4 linked regions of the Oryctolagus cuniculus genome follow. The protein of the gene in region 1 interacts with the protein of each later gene in a pairwise test. Links are inferred from orthologs where the notes say so. Each region holds a gene or a part of one and is shown on either strand. Other genes may lie near its edges. The genes, in order: CREB1, POGZ, CRTC1 and TSSK4.

The links.
Region 2: the proteins of CREB1 (region 1) and POGZ interact in a two-hybrid assay, tested with the Homo sapiens proteins (2 studies listed by BioGRID and IntAct). The link is inferred for Oryctolagus cuniculus from reciprocal best matches to the Homo sapiens genes CREB1 and POGZ.
Region 3: the proteins of CREB1 (region 1) and CRTC1 interact in binary tests that used the Homo sapiens proteins (3 or more experiments, as listed by UniProt). The link is inferred for Oryctolagus cuniculus from reciprocal best matches to the Homo sapiens genes CREB1 and CRTC1.
Region 4: the proteins of CREB1 (region 1) and TSSK4 interact in binary tests that used the Homo sapiens proteins (3 or more experiments, as listed by UniProt). The link is inferred for Oryctolagus cuniculus from reciprocal best matches to the Homo sapiens genes CREB1 and TSSK4.

The regions. Positions count from the first base shown.
Region 1 is NC_091434.1:32,216,052-32,219,963, forward strand, and holds part of CREB1 (cyclic AMP-responsive element-binding protein 1), read right to left. Parts: intron 3,459-3,912; coding exon 3,276-3,458; intron 2,151-3,275; exon of another isoform or gene 2,129-2,150; coding exon of another isoform or gene 2,089-2,128; intron 1,239-2,088; coding exon 1,088-1,238; intron 1-1,087.
Region 2 is NC_091438.1:46,627,700-46,632,189, reverse strand, and holds the start of POGZ (pogo transposable element with ZNF domain), read right to left. Parts: upstream 3,124-4,490; 5' UTR 2,992-3,123; coding exon 2,978-2,991; intron 2,609-2,977; exon of another isoform or gene 2,445-2,608; intron 1-2,444. UniProt on the Homo sapiens protein: Plays a role in mitotic cell cycle progression and is involved in kinetochore assembly and mitotic sister chromatid cohesion.
Region 3 is NC_091447.1:65,767,806-65,772,470, forward strand, and holds the start of CRTC1 (CREB-regulated transcription coactivator 1), read left to right. Parts: upstream 1-1,651; 5' UTR 1,652-1,747; coding exon 1,748-1,873; intron 1,874-4,665. UniProt on the Homo sapiens protein: Transcriptional coactivator for CREB1 which activates transcription through both consensus and variant cAMP response element (CRE) sites.
Region 4 is NC_091443.1:50,994,640-50,999,198, reverse strand, and holds TSSK4 (testis-specific serine/threonine-protein kinase 4), read left to right. Parts: upstream 1-1,499; 5' UTR 1,500-1,644; coding exon 1,645-1,875; intron 1,876-2,188; coding exon 2,189-2,403; intron 2,404-2,750; coding exon 2,751-3,144; intron 3,145-3,534; coding exon 3,535-3,723; 3' UTR 3,724-3,841; downstream 3,842-4,559. UniProt on the Homo sapiens protein: Serine/threonine kinase which is involved in male germ cell development and in mature sperm function. May be involved in the Cre/Creb signaling pathway. Phosphorylates CREB1 on 'Ser-133' in vitro and can stimulate Cre/Creb pathway in cells.

The sequences.
Region 1 (3,912 bases):
AGCTTGGCCCAGCCTGGGCTGCTGCAGCCATTTGGGGAGTGAATAAGTAAATGAAACATCTTTCTTTCTGTTACTTTGCCTTTTGAATAAATGAACAAATAAATACCCTTTTTTAAAAAAAGGACTGGCCATCATAGTTACTTTATTACAAATTAATATAAATACAATTTAAATTTAATATTTAACATTAATACACATTTATGAAGCTTGATCTTGATTACTATTCATGAAAAAAAATTTTTTTTTTGATCAGGCATTTAGTTTAGCAATTAAGACTTAGAGTATATGGGCTGGATTCTTGATTCTCGCTTCTGACTTCAGCTTCCTGCCAATGCAGATCCTGGGAAGCAGCAGTGAAGGCTCAAGTAATTGGGTTCCTGCCACCTACCCTGGGAGACCTGGCTTGCATTCCTGGACCCTCTCTTCAACCTCTACCCAACTAGCCCTAGCTGTAGTGGGCATTTGGGAGCCTCTTTCTGTCATTCTGCCCCTCAAATAAATATATTTTAAAACCTCCCAGGGGCCGGCACCGTGGCTCACTTGGTTAATCCTCCGCCTGCAGCGTCGGCATCCCATATGGGCACCGGGTTCTAGTCCTGGTTGCTCCTCATCCTGTCCAGCTCTCTGCTGTGGCCTGGGAGGACAGTGGAGGATGGCCCAGGTGCTTGGTCCCCTGCACCCGCGTGGGAGACCAGGAAGAGGCACCTGGCTCCTGGCTTCGGATTGGCACAGTGCCGGCCGTGACAGCCATTTGGGGAGTGAACCAACAGAAGGAAGACCTTTCTCTCTCTCTGTCTATAAGTCTGTTAACTCTATAAATTTTTTTTTTTTTAAATAACTTAGGTAGTTGGTTGGAGCCAAGTACAAATATAGCAACATTGTGCATTAAATATTCTGTGGGGAAATTATATGAAATTATTCTATGATTAAAGACTGATCTACAATCTCATAAATTAATTATTAAATACAGATTTTTAGCAAGATCTATTAATCCTACCAGGAAAAAAAATCAATGTAAAGATCTATTTTCAGCAGAACTTGAAGAGGGATTTGCCCACAGCAATCTAAGTAAATAAAATATATATACCTGTTCTTCATTAGACGAACCTCTCTCTTCCGTGCTGCTTCTTCTGCAGGCTGTGTAGGAAGTGCTGGGGAGGAAGCCATAACAACTCCAGGGGCAATGGTGCTAGTGGGTGCTGTGCGGATCTGGTATGTTTGTACATCTCCAGAAGCAGCTGAAAAGAACAACAGTGAACAAGGTATAAGACACAGAAAAACAGTGTGTCAGTAACATGTGTGTGTCAATCACCAATCTAAGCATACTTTTTGGATTAAAAGGGAAATTAAATGGAACAGATGATTCAGGCTAAAATGTTCAAAGAAATCAGCACTCTTTGGGTCACTACTGAGAAACAATTCCCAATTTATTGTATTTATTAGTCTAGACACTTGAGTGAAAGGCGTCTTAATTGATGTCTGCTGGGTCTCACATTTATTTTTGACCAGAATGCACTTCTATTCTGTTAACAAGCTTACCAACCTTAAGTCTAATAGGGAAGTAGGGCACAGCTTGGATGATCTTCCTAGACACAGTATAGTTCTCAATGTCTTCCTTTGACTTTGGTAAATTCATATTAAAAAATTTCAAGCAGACTCTTGCCACGACATAAAAACGACCATGTTTTTTTTTTTTTTTTTTTTTTTTTTTTTTCATAAAATAGCAAAATGGAAGAGAAAATAAAGCATTATGGTCAACTATTGTAAATTTCTAATTAAAACAAACTGAAAGTATGAAGTGTAGCACTTGAGGTCAATTATATTATTGTAAACATAGTGTTTTAATGTAAATGATAATGGCTAAATAAACTGAAAGTTTATTTTTCTAACTAAGTGGTCCAATATTTGTGAAAGAAACATAGTAACTTATTTGCCAAACTGCTTCTAAGAAGTTTCATATGCTCTCCTAAGAAACCTAGCATCATTTAAGAGAATTCAAAGGTCTTGATAAAAGAATCCATATTAGTTATTAATATCAATTAAAATGTGTAGTTTGAGTGGAAAAGATTTATATACTAAACATGTTACCATCTTCAAACTGACGTTCAGAATTCAAATTCACTGACATCTGCTTTACAATTTTTGAGTACCTGCATGTAAAGTGAAAAGGGGTTTTATTCCCATCAATAAGCAAAATATTATCTTTTTCAAATACTATTCGTTCAGTAACAGAACATATTCTGTGAATACATTAGGACCCTAACTTGTGTTTTAAAAATTTTCAAGAACTATCATCCATGGTAAAGGGATACAACTGCCAGTACCTGACACATGGAAAATGCATTATTAATGCAAATATTTTCAGAAGCAATTTATTATTTTCTCAACATGTAAATGTATCATTGGGCATAAATTATATTCTTGAACTATTCAAATGAATGCAAAGAAAACTGGTTAATTCCTATCTATAGATTCCTGAAATAAAAAGAAAACAAAAAAGTTTTTAAAAATAGTAAAACATGAGGTAGGCATTGTGGCCCAGCAGGAAGAACAGTGCTTGGGACTCTGACATCCCGTATTGAAGTGCTGCTATTCTGCTTCCGATCATATTCCTGTTGAAGTATACTTGGAGGCAGCGGATGATGGCTGAAGTGGCAGAGCCTGCACTAACGATATGGAGATCCTGATGGAGCCTAGGTTCCTGGCTTCAGCCTGATGCAGTCCTGGCTATTGCACGCATTTAGGTAGTGAACCAGCAGATGGAAGTATCTATCTCTCTGCCTTTCAGATAGATGAAAATAAGACTTTAAAAAAGATTTAAATTTCTCTTGAATAAGTAACAAAATTCTGAACCTGCAAAGATTCTTATCAGTGATTTAGCAAAATACTCATTTGACACATGAAAAAAAAAAAAAAAATGAGAGCCAGAGAAGCTGGGTTTTGCTCAAGGTCTCATAGCAGATTCATGCAATTAGATCTAAAATGTCCTTCTTAACTTCTGATTTCACTGTCTTTCCTTCTATCCCACCTTGTTTTTCCTATGCCCTAATTCTAAAGATGTTAAAAGTAGATGTTTTATTTTTTTAAACCTGAAAATAGTTGTTTTTATGCCATGACATTTTGGTCCAATTGGAATAATGAAAAATACTGTCTCTAATGAAATTAACTACATTTTAACAAGGCTTTGCAATATGATACTTACTTTTTTATGAGGGTTTATGTAATTTTAATGGTTTACAGAATGTACTATACTTGTGAATTCCGAATTTCCTTACCTTGAACAACAACTTGGTTGCTGGGCACTAAGATCTGTTGTCCATCCGTGGTCTGTGCATACTGTAGAATGGTAGTACCCGGCTGAGTGGCAGCTGCATTGGTCATGGTTAATGTTTGCAGGCCCTGTACCCCATCGGTACCATTGTTAGCCAGTTGTATTGCTCCTCCCTGGGTAATGGCAACTAAAACCCAATGGATTTTACTGTTACAAGTTTAATTAATACCACATAAACTAAAACTAAATTCAGTGTAGGCTATTTTATGAGACATAATCTAGGAGAAATTATTACAGTAAATAATATCACTAAGAAGCATTTGGTATATTCAAGTTAACTTTCTGCTCAGAAACCTACATCCAGATTTTAGAATAGAAAGGCACTCTGAACCACATTGTAATTTTTAATAACAATGCTTAACAATTTTTTTAAGTAGGTCAGGGAAAATGTTATATTTCTTTTGAAGTTATCTGGTTCTGTGAAGTTCCACCTCACTTTCCTTTATCCCATCATTAATGACGTAAGTAAAAGTTTGTGAAAAATTAACATAATTCAATTTTTACCATAAACTTTTTGAAGACCCTCCCCTTATTTACTGCCCCACTTAAATAAATTTATCGAGGGTAAGAAATGGATTTTT
Region 2 (4,490 bases), on another chromosome or scaffold:
GCTCAAAAGGCTAATCCTCCGCCTGTGGCGCCGGCACACTGGGTTCTAGTCCCCGTTGGGGTGCCGGATTCTGTCCTGGTTGCCCCTCTTCCAGGCCAGCTCTCTGCTGTGGCTCGGGAGTGCAGTGGAGGATGGCCCAAGTGCTTGGGCCCTGCACCCCATGGGAGACCAGGAGAAGCACCTGGCTCCTGCCTTCGGATCAGCGCAGTGCGCCGGCAGCGGCAGCCATTGGAGGGTGAACCAACGGCAAAGGAAGACCTTTCTCTCTGTCCCCTCTGCCTGTGGAAAAAAAAAAAAAAAATCATTGGGGGTGGGTATAGTTAGGATGCTAGTTAGGATGCCCAAGTCCCATTCCAGAGTTCCTGGGTTCAATACTGAGCTCCAGATCCTGATTCCCACTTCCTGCTGGTGTGGACCCAGGGAGGCAGTGGTGATGGCTCACATTAACTGGGTTTCTGTAACCCACATGGAAAACCTGGACTGAGTTCCCAGCTCTCAGTTTTGGCCCAAGTCTTGGCTGTTGTGGGCATCTGGGGAATAAAATAACTTTTTATGGCAGCTCCATTTTTCTCTCTGCCTCTCAAATAAATAAATAAATGACAGATGGATTCTCACGGCTGCTTCTGCATCTGGTCTGCCGCAAGATGTTTTGGTTAAGTACAGAACAAAACTCTGGACTTGTACAGGATATCTAGTGGAAAAGGGGAGATGAATTATATTCTTTCAGATTTATTCATTTATTTGAAAGCCAGAGTTACAGAAGAAAAGGGAGAGACAGAGAGATCTTCCCCAGCTGGTCCACTCCCCGAATGGCCACAACAGCCAGGGCTGGGCCAGGCTAAAGCCAGGAACTTCCTCCAGGTCTCCCATGCGGGTGTGGGACTCAAGCACTTGGGCCATCTTCCACTGCCCTCAAAGCAGAGCAGCCAACAGATTAACTGGTGCCCATATGGGATGCCATTGTCACAGGCAGCAGTCTAACCAGCTATGCCACAACACTGGCCCCAGGGAGTATTTTAATAACCTTTTCAGATGACTAAACAATAACACTATTTATAAACACTAGAACTGAACAAATGATAGTTTCTCAAAGGATATCTGCATCTTAGAATCTGAAACCCTATTGGTGAAATTTTCATACATTGCTACATTAAAATCCACGGCTATAGGGATAGGTGTTTCGTGCTGCAGTTAAGCCGCCTCTTGCTTAGGACACCTGCATTCCATATCAAGAGTGCCTAGGTTTGAGTCCCTGGCTCCACTTCCAATTCCATCTTCCTGCTAATATGCACCATGGAAAGTACTAGGTGACGGTTCAAATAGTTAGGTCCCTGCCACCAACATGGGACCCATCCCGGGCTGTTGCAGGTAGTTAGGGAGTGAACCAGTGGATGGAAGTTGTCTGTTTCAAAAAATAAAATATACATACATATTTATTCATTGCCATATTTCATATTTTGAATTACTCTTGTAATTCTGCAGCATCATACACTGGTCATTTGGAAAATATGTACAAAAAATGTGCATTTACTGAGTTAAGCCATCTTCCAAATGACACATTTCATTATGTAATATTTTTTAAAAATCACAATTGTTAATCACTAATAATGTAAGCAAAGTCTTTCAGGTACTGGGATGCAGTCAACTTTTGAAAAATTCTATCTTCCATTCAAATTTATCACTGGTAACAAATATGGTCAATTGCTTTCATATAAATGATAAGCTTACTTCATTCACTTTCAAGAAGTATCTTCAAATACTCAATGTGAAAAACAGTAGTTTGTCAGTCGTTATTTCAAGTAAAAATGCCATTCCAGGAAATAAACAGCTCACAAAACAACATCACAAATGCTTTTCCTTTTGACAACAATCATACTTCGGTAGGCAGCATAAATGCTTTATGAAAACTGATCATTTCAGGGCCTACGCTGTGGTGCAGCAGGTTAACGCCCTGGCCTGAAGCGCCAGCATCCCATATGGGCGCCAGTTCTAGTCCTGGCTGCTCCTCTTCCAATCCAGCTCTCTGCTATGGCCTGGGAAAGCAGCAGAAGATGGCCCAAGACCTTGGGCCCCTGCACCCAAGTGAGAGACCCAGAAGAAGCTCCTGGCTCCGGATCGGCACAGCTCCGGCAGTTGCGGCCATCTGGGGAGTGAACCATCAAATGGAAGACCTCTCTCTCTCTCCTCTGTGTAACTCTGACTTTCAAATAAATACATAAATCTTAAAACAAAGAAAGAAAGAAAGCAAGCTGATAATGTCATCAGAGATTCTCAAAAAAAATTTAACAGGTGTACTCAGAAGCTGAGATTTGTAGTAATACTTGAAAACATCTCAACAGTGAGGTGAGTGCTGTGGCGAATGGTTAAGCCACTGCTTGGGACACCTCCATCCCGTATCAGAGTGCCTGATACTCCACTTCTGACCCAGCTTCCTGTCAACGCACCTGGGAAGCAGCAGCTAATGGCCCAGGTACTTGAGTTCCTGTTACCCATGTGGAAAACCCTGAACAAAGTTTCTGGCTCCTGGCCCATTCCCAGCTGATGTTGTGGCCATTTGAGAAGTAGAAACAGTGGATGGAAGATACCTCTATCTTCCCGCCTGACAATCCTACCTTTCAAATAAATTAAAAAGAAAAAAAAAAAAAAAAAAAAAGGAAAAGAAAAACTTAGTAACATCAACAGACCATCTTCCAAGTCTCAAAAACAGCTCAGAGTTAATCAGTTACTGGTTCATCAAGGACCATCTGTACAGCAGCCTGGTACCATCGCCTTACTCGATGGTAAGACACCAACAATAGTTTTACCTAGCATTGCTTTTGGGCTATCAGTGCGAACATCAGAAAAAAATCTTAGATTTTGAAAAGTTATGACCTCAAGACTCCCCAGCGAAGCTCGGAGGGGGTATCCCCAGAGGATCGCACTTTGAGAACCTCTTTCCTAGACCGCACCACTAGTTCCAGATGAGTGAAAAACTCACAAAATCCTGCTCATCGCCAGGAGTTCCTTCTACTCTTTTAGTTGGGAGCTACACCATCAACACACTTCAGGAAGAGCGCAGACTAGCATTCACCCGTTTTCACGACTGTCTTCAGCATCTTGACATCAGACCAGTAACCCTCAACGGGGACTGCCTTTAAGACCTAGAAACAGCAAACTCTGCCTACCCTACCCACAGGAATTCCAGGGAGGAGGCCCCCAACACCGCACTTTCCTGGTCTCCGAGGCACCTTTCACGCACCCCGAGGTGAAGCAGCTTGGAATTCAGAATCCAGGCTCCCAGTCCCAGAGCAACCCGTCTCGCTGTTGTTCGTCAAGCAGCAGCCCCCCCACGCCCAGCCCTCCCGGGTCCCCCCATCTAGTCGGGAAAATCCCTTTCCAACTGTGGAGTTCCGCGCTGTGGAGGGAAGTGTCTCAGAGAGCGTGGTGACCCGGCTACCGCCCGCACGGTTCAGAGACAGCAACTGGTACAACTGCATCTTAATTTCCATCTCGAGTAAAACGAGACTGGGCCCAACGACTTACAAGATTCTTCAGCTCTGACAAGTGAGCCGAGGAATGCCCAGTGTTATCTCACTAACAGTGTGCGGGGAATCCCACATCTGCCGCGGGAGGAAATCAGGACAAGACGCAGAAAGGAGGAAAAGCAGGTGGATCGATGACAGGACTCCTTTCCAGTAGTAGGTGCAGAGGGCTAGAGAAAGTAGTCCCCGGGATAAACATGGCGCCCACCGCGGCAGGACATCATCATCATCATCCCCAGAAAAGAGAGCTTCTCCGCCCCATCCCATTTTATAAATCACGGCGCGGTCCCCCCACTGCAGCCTGGGGCCAGGCGAGCAGACTTCGCGGAGCAGCCGCCGCGCACCAGAGCGAGCGGGGGTTACATAACACAAGGGATCGCCCAAGCAATCCTTCTCCTCCTCCCGCTCCAAACGGGCGCCCCGCTCCTTCCCCGGGCGGGGGCGGGGCGGCGCGGGCACCCCCGGCAGACGCTGCCCCGCCGCGGCCTCGCCCCCTCGCCCCCGCCCCTCCCCAGCGGGCCGCCAGCGCCGGCGCCCGCGCCGCCCACTCCTCCGAGACGCCCCGCGCCGGGCGTGCGTGTGGACGTCGGGTGTGTGCGGGGCCGTGGGGCGCGAGTGCGCGCGCGCGCCGCGGCCGGCGCCGGGGGGCGGGGGCGGCAGGCAGGCAGGCAGGGGCCCCCTCCGCCGCCGCCGGCCCGCCGCGCAGCTCCCGCGGCCAGGGCGCTCCCACCGCACACACGCGCTCGCGCGCCGCGCCCCACGGCCGCCACTGCCGCGCGCGACCGCCGCCACTCGCGGAGGGCGCGGGCGCGCGCCCCCGGTCCCCGCCCCCACCCCGTGCGCGCGCGCCCGCCCGCCCCATCCCCCCTCTCATTGTCTGGCGCCGAACGCCTCGCCGAGCGAAAAGATAACGGAACCCCCGGGAGAAGGGGGTGGGGAAGAGCGAAGGCTCGCTCGCTCACTCACCTC
Region 3 (4,665 bases), on another chromosome or scaffold:
TGTGTTAGCTCTGGGGCCTGGAGTGGCAGAGGAGCCCCCAGGTGCTCAGAGACTTCAAAGGATAACGGTCGTGAGTGAGGGCACACAGCTCCCACCGTGCTGCCCTGCTGTGAGTGGGGGGTGAGCGCGTGCGCTGAGTTCACGCAGCCGGGACCCCAGCAGCAGTGGGAGGCCCTGCCGCGGGGCGCTGCTGGACCGACGCTGCGGCGTAGCTGGTATAGTGGCTGCCTGCAGTGCCGGCATCCCATAGGGGTGCCAGTTCGAGTCTCGGCTGCTCCGCTTCCAGTCCAGCTCTCTGCTATGGCCTGGGAAAGCAGTGGAGGATGGCCTAAGTCCTTGGGCCCCTGCACCTGCGTGGGAGACCTGGAAGAAGCTCCTGGCTCCGGATCAGCACAGCTCTGGCCATTGTGGCCATCTGGGGAGTGAACCAGCGGATGGAGGACCTCTCTCTCTCTCTCTCTCTCTCTCTGTCTCTCTGTAACTCTGCCTTTGAAATAAATAAATAAATAAATAAATTTAAAAGATGAGACGGTGGAGGAGAGCGACCCAGGCAAAGATGTGGGCGTGGAAACTTCTGGAAGACTGGAATGCCGGCTGCTGAGGGCAGGGGTCCGCGGGCCCCTGGGGAGGGGGGACCTGTCCCCTAAGTTCGATGTGAGCCTGAGATTGGCCCAGGACCACGAAGAGCACGCGTGGCTTCCATTCAGGGAGAGGAGGCCGGGAGGCACAGGGCCGGGCGCTGCCCGGGACCCCCGAGGCCGTGGCCTCCCCCTGCCCCAAGCCCGGGGCGGCTGCCCCCTGTCCAGCCCCGCGGCCGACACCAGGCCGGCGGCTTCCTCTGACCCACGGCCAGGGTTGGGGGCGGGTCCAGTTTCAGGCCGGCCGCGGGCGCCCTGCGGGCATCTGGGGGCCCCCAAACCCCCTGCACCCCATCTCCCCGTGTCCGGAAGCTGGCTCTGGGCAGGTGTAAGCGAGCGAGTGGGAGGGCCGGGCATTTGCCGGGTCCACAGATCCCGGTGTGGGGCGGGGAGGCGCCGAGCTCCGCCCACTGCACCCCATTGAGGCCGGGGGCGGGGCTCCCCTGGCTCTGGGGCGGGCCTCGCCGGGAGCACCTGCTGCCCCCTATTCCTCCGTGACCCCTCGGGGTCGGAGGTGAGAACCAGCCGGCCCCACGCCTGACCTCCAGAAGCTTCCAGGCACTGGGACACCCACACCCCACCTTCAGGGGCCTGGGAAAAGGCCACAGCAGCCAGGGCTGGGCCAGCCTGGAGCCACGCGCCAGGAGCCAGGCGCTCCGACCCGGGCTCCCGGGGACCCCAGCACTGGAGCCACTGTTCCCGCCTCTGCCCAGCTGTCCTTGGTATACAGCAGGTGCTCAACGCATGCACGGCAGGCCAACACCTTGGACCCGCACCATCACCAGGCATCCGCTAGGTAGCGGGCCCGGCGGGGGACTCACTGCGCCTGCGCGGAGGCTCCCACTCGCGCGCCCCTGCCCTCCTGGCGCTCCGAGCGCGCCTCCCGGGCGCGCGCATGCGCCTTCGCCCCCGCGCCTCGCGCCGGCTGCGCTGCGCCTGCGCCGCGCTCCCGACCGCGGCCGCGCCTGCGTCCTGCGCGCCGCCCGCGGGCCCGAGCGGCGCCTGCGCGGTGGTGCCGGCGGGTGGGGGGGCGAGGAGGCGGAGGAGGAGGAGGAGGAGGAGGAGGCGGCGGTGGCGGCGGCGGCGGCGGCGGCGGCGGCGGCGAGAAGATGGCGACTTCGAACAATCCGCGGAAATTCAGCGAGAAGATCGCGCTGCACAACCAGAAGCAGGCAGAGGAGACGGCGGCCTTCGAGGAGGTCATGAAAGACCTGAGCCTGACGCGGGCCGCGCGGGTGAGGGGGGCTGCCGGGCACCGACCCCGCGGGCCGAGGGAGGGAGGGGCGCGTGCACGCGGCGGGGGCGCGCGCGGGGGCGGGGCCGCCGGCCCGGGGTGGAGGGCCAGGTGTCCCCCAGGCTCCGGGCGCCGTGGGCGGGACGGGGGCCCCCACATCCTCCGTAGCTGAGGGGCACAGGTGTCCCCGCCCCCTCGCCACCTGGACAGGCCAGGTGTGCGCGCCTCGCCGCCCCCGTGAGGGCACGGGTGCCCCCGCACCGTCGCCGCCCGGGGGGCGAGGGGGCCGCTGCCGGCAGGGAGCAGGTGCCGGGGCGTCGCTGGGACCGGCGCGGGGGGCCGGCGCCAGCCAGGTGCTGCATCCCGCCCGGTACCTGGCTGCAGCCGAGCGCTCCCGCGGCGCCGCCTCCCTGGGTGCTGGGGGCAGGAGCAGGTGTCCCTGCTGGCAGACCTCCGTGGGGCCGCCTGGGGTCGGGGGCCCGAGGGGCCGGGTCCTGGGGCTGGGCCTCCCGGTGGGCGGGGGACCGCTGGCCACACGCGGGGATCGGGCGGGCGGCCCAGGGGTGCTCGGGTGTGTCCCGTGAGCTGGCTGCTGGGGCTGGGGGCCCAGCTGTCCCCTGTGGCCCTGCTCCGGCCAGGGGCCTGGGGTCTCCGCTTCTTTCGCTGTCCGGCGTATGGAGCAAGACCTGGCTCCCGGGGCAGGGAGGCGACCCGAGGTGGGGGATCTCCGCGGGGCCTGGGGGGACGCAGGTGTGGGTGGGAGCTGCAGGCACCCCGCCCCTCCCGCCGGGGCGTGACCCCAGGCCTGACCTCCCGACTGACCCCACGCCCCCACCCCGGTCCCGACGGACCCCGGGTCCCGGCGTTTTGTGAATGGTCGCGGGTCCGAGCCGGGGCTGCGACCTCAGGGTTAGGGTGCGCATGTTCCCGGCGGCCACGGCTGCTGCCGACCAAGAGGCTGCTGGCGAATGAATGAATGAGTGACCGAATGAATGAATGAATGAAGGAACGTGTGCCCCGGGCCGGGGCTCCCGGCGGGACCTGTGCGCCCCCTGGCTGGCCGACAGGCAGTGTCGGGTGTTGGCAGCCTGACCGGAAGCGAGCGAGGGGCCACGCGCGGTTCGTGGTCCGGTCCCTGCGTGGGCTGGGCCTGGGTGGTCGTGGAAGGAGGTCTCTGTGAGGGGCTGAGCCCGGGCGGCTGCGTCCCGTGTCCGATGCCCGGCTTTGGGGCCCCAGCTCTGCCGCCCCGGCTTCCTGGGAGGCTGCGGTGACGGCTCCAGGACCCGAGCCCCTGCCGCCCACACGGGGGACCCAGGTGGAGCTCCGGGCTCCTGGCTTCGGCCGGCCCGGCCCGGCCCGGCCCCAGCTGCTGCAGGCACTTGGGGAGTGAACCCGCAGATGGGCCACCTCCCTCCCTCTCTCTCCCTCTCTCTCTCTCTGCCTGTCAAATAAGATTAAAAAAATAAAATAGCAACTTCATTAAGATCTCGTTCACTTACGTTGTCTGTTTATTTAAAGGGTACAGTTCTGTGTCTTTGTTTTTGATTTCTTTACATGAAAGGCAGAGTTGAGAGAGAGAGATAGAGGGAGAGGGAGAGGGAGAGGGAGAGGTCCTCCATCCGCTGGGTCACTCCCCAAATGGCCGGTCCTCCATCTGCTGGGTCACTCCCCAAACGGCCGCAGCGGCCGGGGCTGGACCAGGCTGAAGCCAGGAGCTCCATCCGGGTCTCCCACGCAGGTGCAGGGGCCCCAGGGCTCGGCCATCGCTGCTGCTTTCCCAGGCCACAGCAGGGAGCGGGACTGGAAGTGGAGCGGCCGGGACTCGAACCTGCGTCCCCGGAAGCCGCTGCGGCACAGCGCGGCCCCTGTACGCGGTCTCAGTCGGCGTCAGGTTCTCCGGGTCCCTCCGCGCCGTAGCAGGTGCCGGGCCTCAGCCCTTGTCCTGGCTGAGTAGTACTCCGCCGATGGCCACGTCTGGCCCTGGGCCCCCTCCCCTCGCCCCGTAGCCTTCCTGTAACCTGATCGTGGCCATGGGCGGAACCAACAGAAGGTGAATCTTTAGGCCCAGAGGGTTATCCCCTGGGCGGTGACTGCCCCCAGAGGACTCTGGGCCATCCGGTCTGACCGGAGGATGCCAAAACATAGCATCTGTTTATTTATTTATTTGTTGGAGAGAGAGACCGAGCACTCCCGTCTGTTGCTTCCCTTCCCAGGTGGAAGCCGGGAGCCAGGAGCTCGGAGCAGGTCTCCCGCGTGGGTGGCGGGGGCCCAAGCGCTCGAGCCCTGGTCCCCTGCTGCCTCCAGGGTGGGCATCAGCAGGGAGCAGCGCTGGGATTCGAACCTGGGCCCTCCCATGTGGGAGGCGGGCTTCCCCAGCAGCGTCCAAGCAGCTGCGGCCCCCGCAGCCCCCTGCCGGCGTCTTGCGAGTGAAGGTCAGGGACACCGCCCGGCGCCGCGTGACCTCGCACAGGGCCCGGCCGTGGCTGGCAGCCGTGGCCGGCGCTGGGAAGCCTTGGGTCCGAGGAGGGCGGGGAGGTGGGAGCGCTGCCCTGCGTGGGTCGCTCCAGTGTCCTGCGTGGCTGTGCCAGGGCCAGGGCCAGCACCTCCCCCCACCGGCTGTGGCAGGTGCACCCGTACCGCCGGGCGCAGGCTGCCCTGCCTTGGGGGCTGCGGCCGTGGCTCCTGCCTCCCCCCACGCTGGACACCAGGGGTTCCTGTGCACCTGCAGACAGGTGAGGTGTGGCTCAGGCTGCAGCTGCACCTGTCCCGTGAGTGCCAGAGGCCGGCACGTGT
Region 4 (4,559 bases), on another chromosome or scaffold:
ATCTCAACACAGGTTTTGTAAATTTGTATCCTCCAACCCCATTTGGGCCCTTGCTGCCCAGTGATCCTGCTCATTTTCCAAACCACCTCTTTTCCATTCTCCACAACCCATTCTTTTCAAACTTCTGATTTCACCTCTCTTCTAGTCACTGAACCTCCCTTGAGAGTCCAATGGGAGATGCAAGCAAAAACAAAAAGCACCTCAACTGATGTTTGGTCAAGTGCTGTGTCCGACAAAGTGTTAGTGTTGGGAAGCACCTAGAAGGGAGGAGCACCTTAGGTGTGGACAGGCAGTACAGCCTTCCTTAAAAACAGCTGCGATTGGGCCAGTGCTGTGGTGCAGTGGGTTAGCCATGACCTGCAGTACCAGCATCTCACATGGGCACCAGTTCTAGTCCTGGCTGCTCCTCTTCCGATCCAGCTCTCTGCTATGGCCCAGGAAAGCAGTGGAAGATGGCCCAAGTGCTTGGGCCCTTGCACCCACATAGGAGACCTGGAAGAAGCTCCTGCCGTTGTGGCCATTTGGAGAGCGAACCAGTGAATGGAAGACCTTTCTCTCTCTCCCTCTCTCTGTAATGCTACCTCTCGAATAAATAAAATTAAAAAAAAAAAAAAAGAGAGAGACCTGAATTGAGGGAGTGGCATTGAGCTTAGAGAGCCAAGTGTCTTATTTAAGAGATATTAAGAAGTAGAAGAGACATGATTTGGTGATAAATTATGTGTAGGGACTAAGGCAAGAGGAAGGGTCTGAGATGACATTTAGGTGTCTGCGAATAACTAGTGTACAATTTACGGTGAGTTTGAGGTGCCTAGGAGAGACCTGTCCACGTGACGTCCAATGAGCAATTAGGCTGTATCTGGAACTCCAGTGATGGCTGGGACAGAGATGAGATCAGGAGCAGCAAGCACATTGAGGCTCTGGGAGTGATAAGGATAAGGTCTTAACGAAAAAATGTGAAGGTCTGATAGAACCTTTAGGATAAGATTGAGATAAAAGGAGACTGATGAGGCTCCCAAGGAGGCTGAGGATGACCAGAGGCATGGGAGGATATTAAACTAGAGGTCAGGGTTATGGAGAATGCCTGTCAAGGTTAGATCCCTATAGCAGGCTTCAACACCTTGAACTTCTCTGTAATGCCCCTGTGCTTCTCTCATGCTCACTGTAAGTGCAAGGGGCATGAGGTCTCTACTGGCCTGACTGGTCATTTTATCCTAGTACTGCACACTGGCAGAAAGGAGGTGCTCCGTGCACTGGACAGCTGGGGGGAGAGTCTCACCAGATTGCAGAGCATGTCTCTGGGAACGAATCTGTTCCAAACCACACTGCATTTTCAAGCTTCGTGGCCAGTGACAGAAGGTGGATTGTGATGTGGATGGAACATGAAACCTTGGTAAGTTCCGTAACCAAGGAGGAAGAAGTACCAACAGCCAGTGGAGACCGAAAGAACTGCTCCTCCTATCCCCCTTCAAGTTGCTAGCAGAGGGCTGGGCCCAGCATCCCAGACTTAATGTGACTCCATAGGCAAGCATCCAGAGACCAGCTTCACTTTGGTACCCCGGCCTTCAGTGGCTAGAGGTGCTGGCCTTGGAGTAGACAGGAGGCTTCCAGGTAGCCAAGCTCCTTGCTCTCAGCAAGCCCGGCAGTATGGGGAAGGGAGATGCGGTGGAGGCGGCGGCAGCACCAGCCACTCCGGCTTACCGATCTGTCATGGAGGAGTATGGCTATGAGGTGGGCAAGGTCATTGGCAATGGCTCCTACGGGACAGTGTACGAGGCTTATTACACAAAGCAGAAGGTCATGGTGGCCGTCAAGATCATCTCAAAGAAGAAGGCCTCCGAGGATTATCTAAACAAGTTCCTGCCCCGTGAGATACAGGTTGGAGAGTGCTGGGAGAGGGAGTGGCAGTTTACTAAGCTGCATGAGGTTTTTCAGAGGGGATGTGGTTAGGAAGTGGTGGGGCCACCCCCTCCCCCCAAACTGGGACTGGGCATCTGACTCAGCAGCTAGGAAAATTAATGTCAACTCAACCGCTCTTGCCTACCCACTCACCTCCAGCTCTCCCCAGAGTGCAAAACAAGGTCTACCTCCAGGCAGCAGCCCTGTGCTGCAGAGGTCCAGTAGCAGTGGGCTGGGAGTGCAGCCAGGGCCCACCCTTCTCGGGTTTGATGGGTGCCTCTTCTGGGGGCAGGTAATGAAAGTCTTGCGGCACAAGTACCTCATCAACTTCTATCAGGCCATCGAGACCACGTCCCGCGTGTACATCATCCTGGAGCTGGCGCAAGGTGGAGACGTCCTCGAGTGGATCCAGCGCTATGGGGCCTGCTCTGAGCCCCTTGCTGGCAAGTGGTTCTCCCAGATGGCCCTGGGCATCGCCTACCTGCACAGCAAGGGCATCGTGCACCGGTGAGGGCGCTGCCACTCGGACGGGGGCCTTCAGGCGCTCAGGGGGCTTTCCTGTACAGCTTCTGCTTTCTGCCTTTTCCTCCTTTGCACTTTCCTCATTATCCAGGTCCATGCATCCACTCTATTTCAATCCTCTGGTCAAGGACACTTACATAAAGTGCCCAGTGTGTGCAGACCCCTTTATGAAATGCAGTAGTGAGACCCCAGTGGTCCTCAAGGACCTCATAACACCTTGGCTCTCTCCTCCTGACACTGGTCTCATAATGGCGTCTCCCTCCCACCTGGCCCATCCTCAACCTTAGCCTCCATCCTTCAGCTCCCGGTCTAATACAAAGCCCTCTCCCCAGCCTGACCCCCAGCCTTTCTGCTGCTGGTAGGGACTTAAAGTTGGAGAACTTGTTGTTGGACAAGCGAGAGAATGTGAAGATATCGGACTTTGGCTTCGCCAAGATGGTGCCTCCTAACCAGCCTGCGCGTAGTAGCTCTTCTTACCGCCAAATGAACTGCTTTTCCCACCTCAGCCAGACCTACTGTGGCAGCTTTGCATACGCCTGCCCCGAGATCTTGCTAGGCTTGCCCTACAACCCTTTCCTGTCGGACACCTGGAGCATGGGAGTCATCCTCTATACTCTGGTGGTCGCCCGTCTGCCCTTCGATGACACCAACCTCAAGAAGCTGCTCAAGGAGACTCAGAAGGAGGTCTCTTTCCCGCAGAACAACGCCATCTCCCAGGAGTGCAAGGTGCTGGCTCCCCCAGGAGAGCTGAAGCCTTAGAGATGACCCATGGGGAGGGGCGAATTCCCAAGCTAGGCCACCCAGCCCTGGGCGAGCCAGCCCATACTCTTGTCCCTGGGGAGGGCTTATAGGGCCATTCACGGGGCCCCATCCTTAAGCAGATTCCCACTACTATCCCTTTAGGCTAGGAGGGGCTTGTGCAAAGGATTTCCCCAAGAATTCCTCCCTCCCCTTTCCAGGGAGCTGAATACTTGGCTTACCAGGATAAAACCAGGGCCACACCCCTTTCACTAAAGTAGCATAGGCGCTACCTTGTATTCTCTTTGGGTCCAGCTGCTTACTGTGTGGCACAGTGCAGGGTAAGCTTAGCCAGGACCTTTCTTTCTCCTGCCCTAGAACCTAGTCCTTCATATGCTATGCCAAGCGGCCAAGCGTGCCACCATCCTGGACATCCTCAAGGATCCCTGGGTGCTCAAGTTCCAGCCTGAGCAACCCACCAATGAGATCAGGCTGCTAGAGGCCATGTGCCAGCCCACCACCAGCAGCACCAGCAATCGGCAGCAATCCTTGGGCAACACAACCTGAAAATGGTTGCTGGGAGGGGAGGGAAGGAAAGAAGGGAGGGACTGAGAGAGGGGCAAAGCAGGAGGGTCCAGGGCTAAAAATCTTTTATACCGTAAATAAATCTGATTTAGTTTCATCAGCTATGTTCAAAGATATTCTTTGCTCAAGGGAACCTTAGTGGGGAATACTGCTGTGGGTACAAGGTGGATTTCTGTCCGGAGCCTGTCACCAGTCCACCTTGACACCTGTGTAAATCAGTGTGATTCCACCTGCGGCTCGTGGGGTGGGGCGCTCAGATGAACACTCTGGGGAAGCTTTCTTTTTCTGACTACGTCTTTGTGCTCTCTGAACATCCATGCAGTGGGGGAAAGCCCTGCTCGCTCCACCTGAGGCTCTGCTTGTCTGCAGTCCAAAGTGATGGGCTTTTATTTTTTGTTTTGTTAAAGATTTACTTATTTGAAAGGCAGAGTGACACAGTGACAAAGAGACAGATCTCAATCTTCTGGGTCACTTCCCTGATGGTTGCTACACCCGGGGCTTGGCCAGGCCTAAGCCAGGAGCTAGGAGCTCTATTTAGGCCTTCCACATAGGTGGTAGGAGCCCAGGTATTAGCGTCACCACGTGCAGGAACCTGGATCAGAGGGATGGAGTAGCTGAGACTTGAACCAGGCACTCCGATGTGGGACGTGAGTGTGCCAAGTGTGCCAATCTGCTGTGCCACAATGCCTGTCCCCGACCCTGTTCTTTTAGGCAGGGCTCACAGGTTATATGAAGTACCCTGGTCCCTTCTCTCTCCTGTGTCACTTTAACTTCTAATTGAATCAATGCCAGGGAGTCAGAGTTCCGTACACTATTAG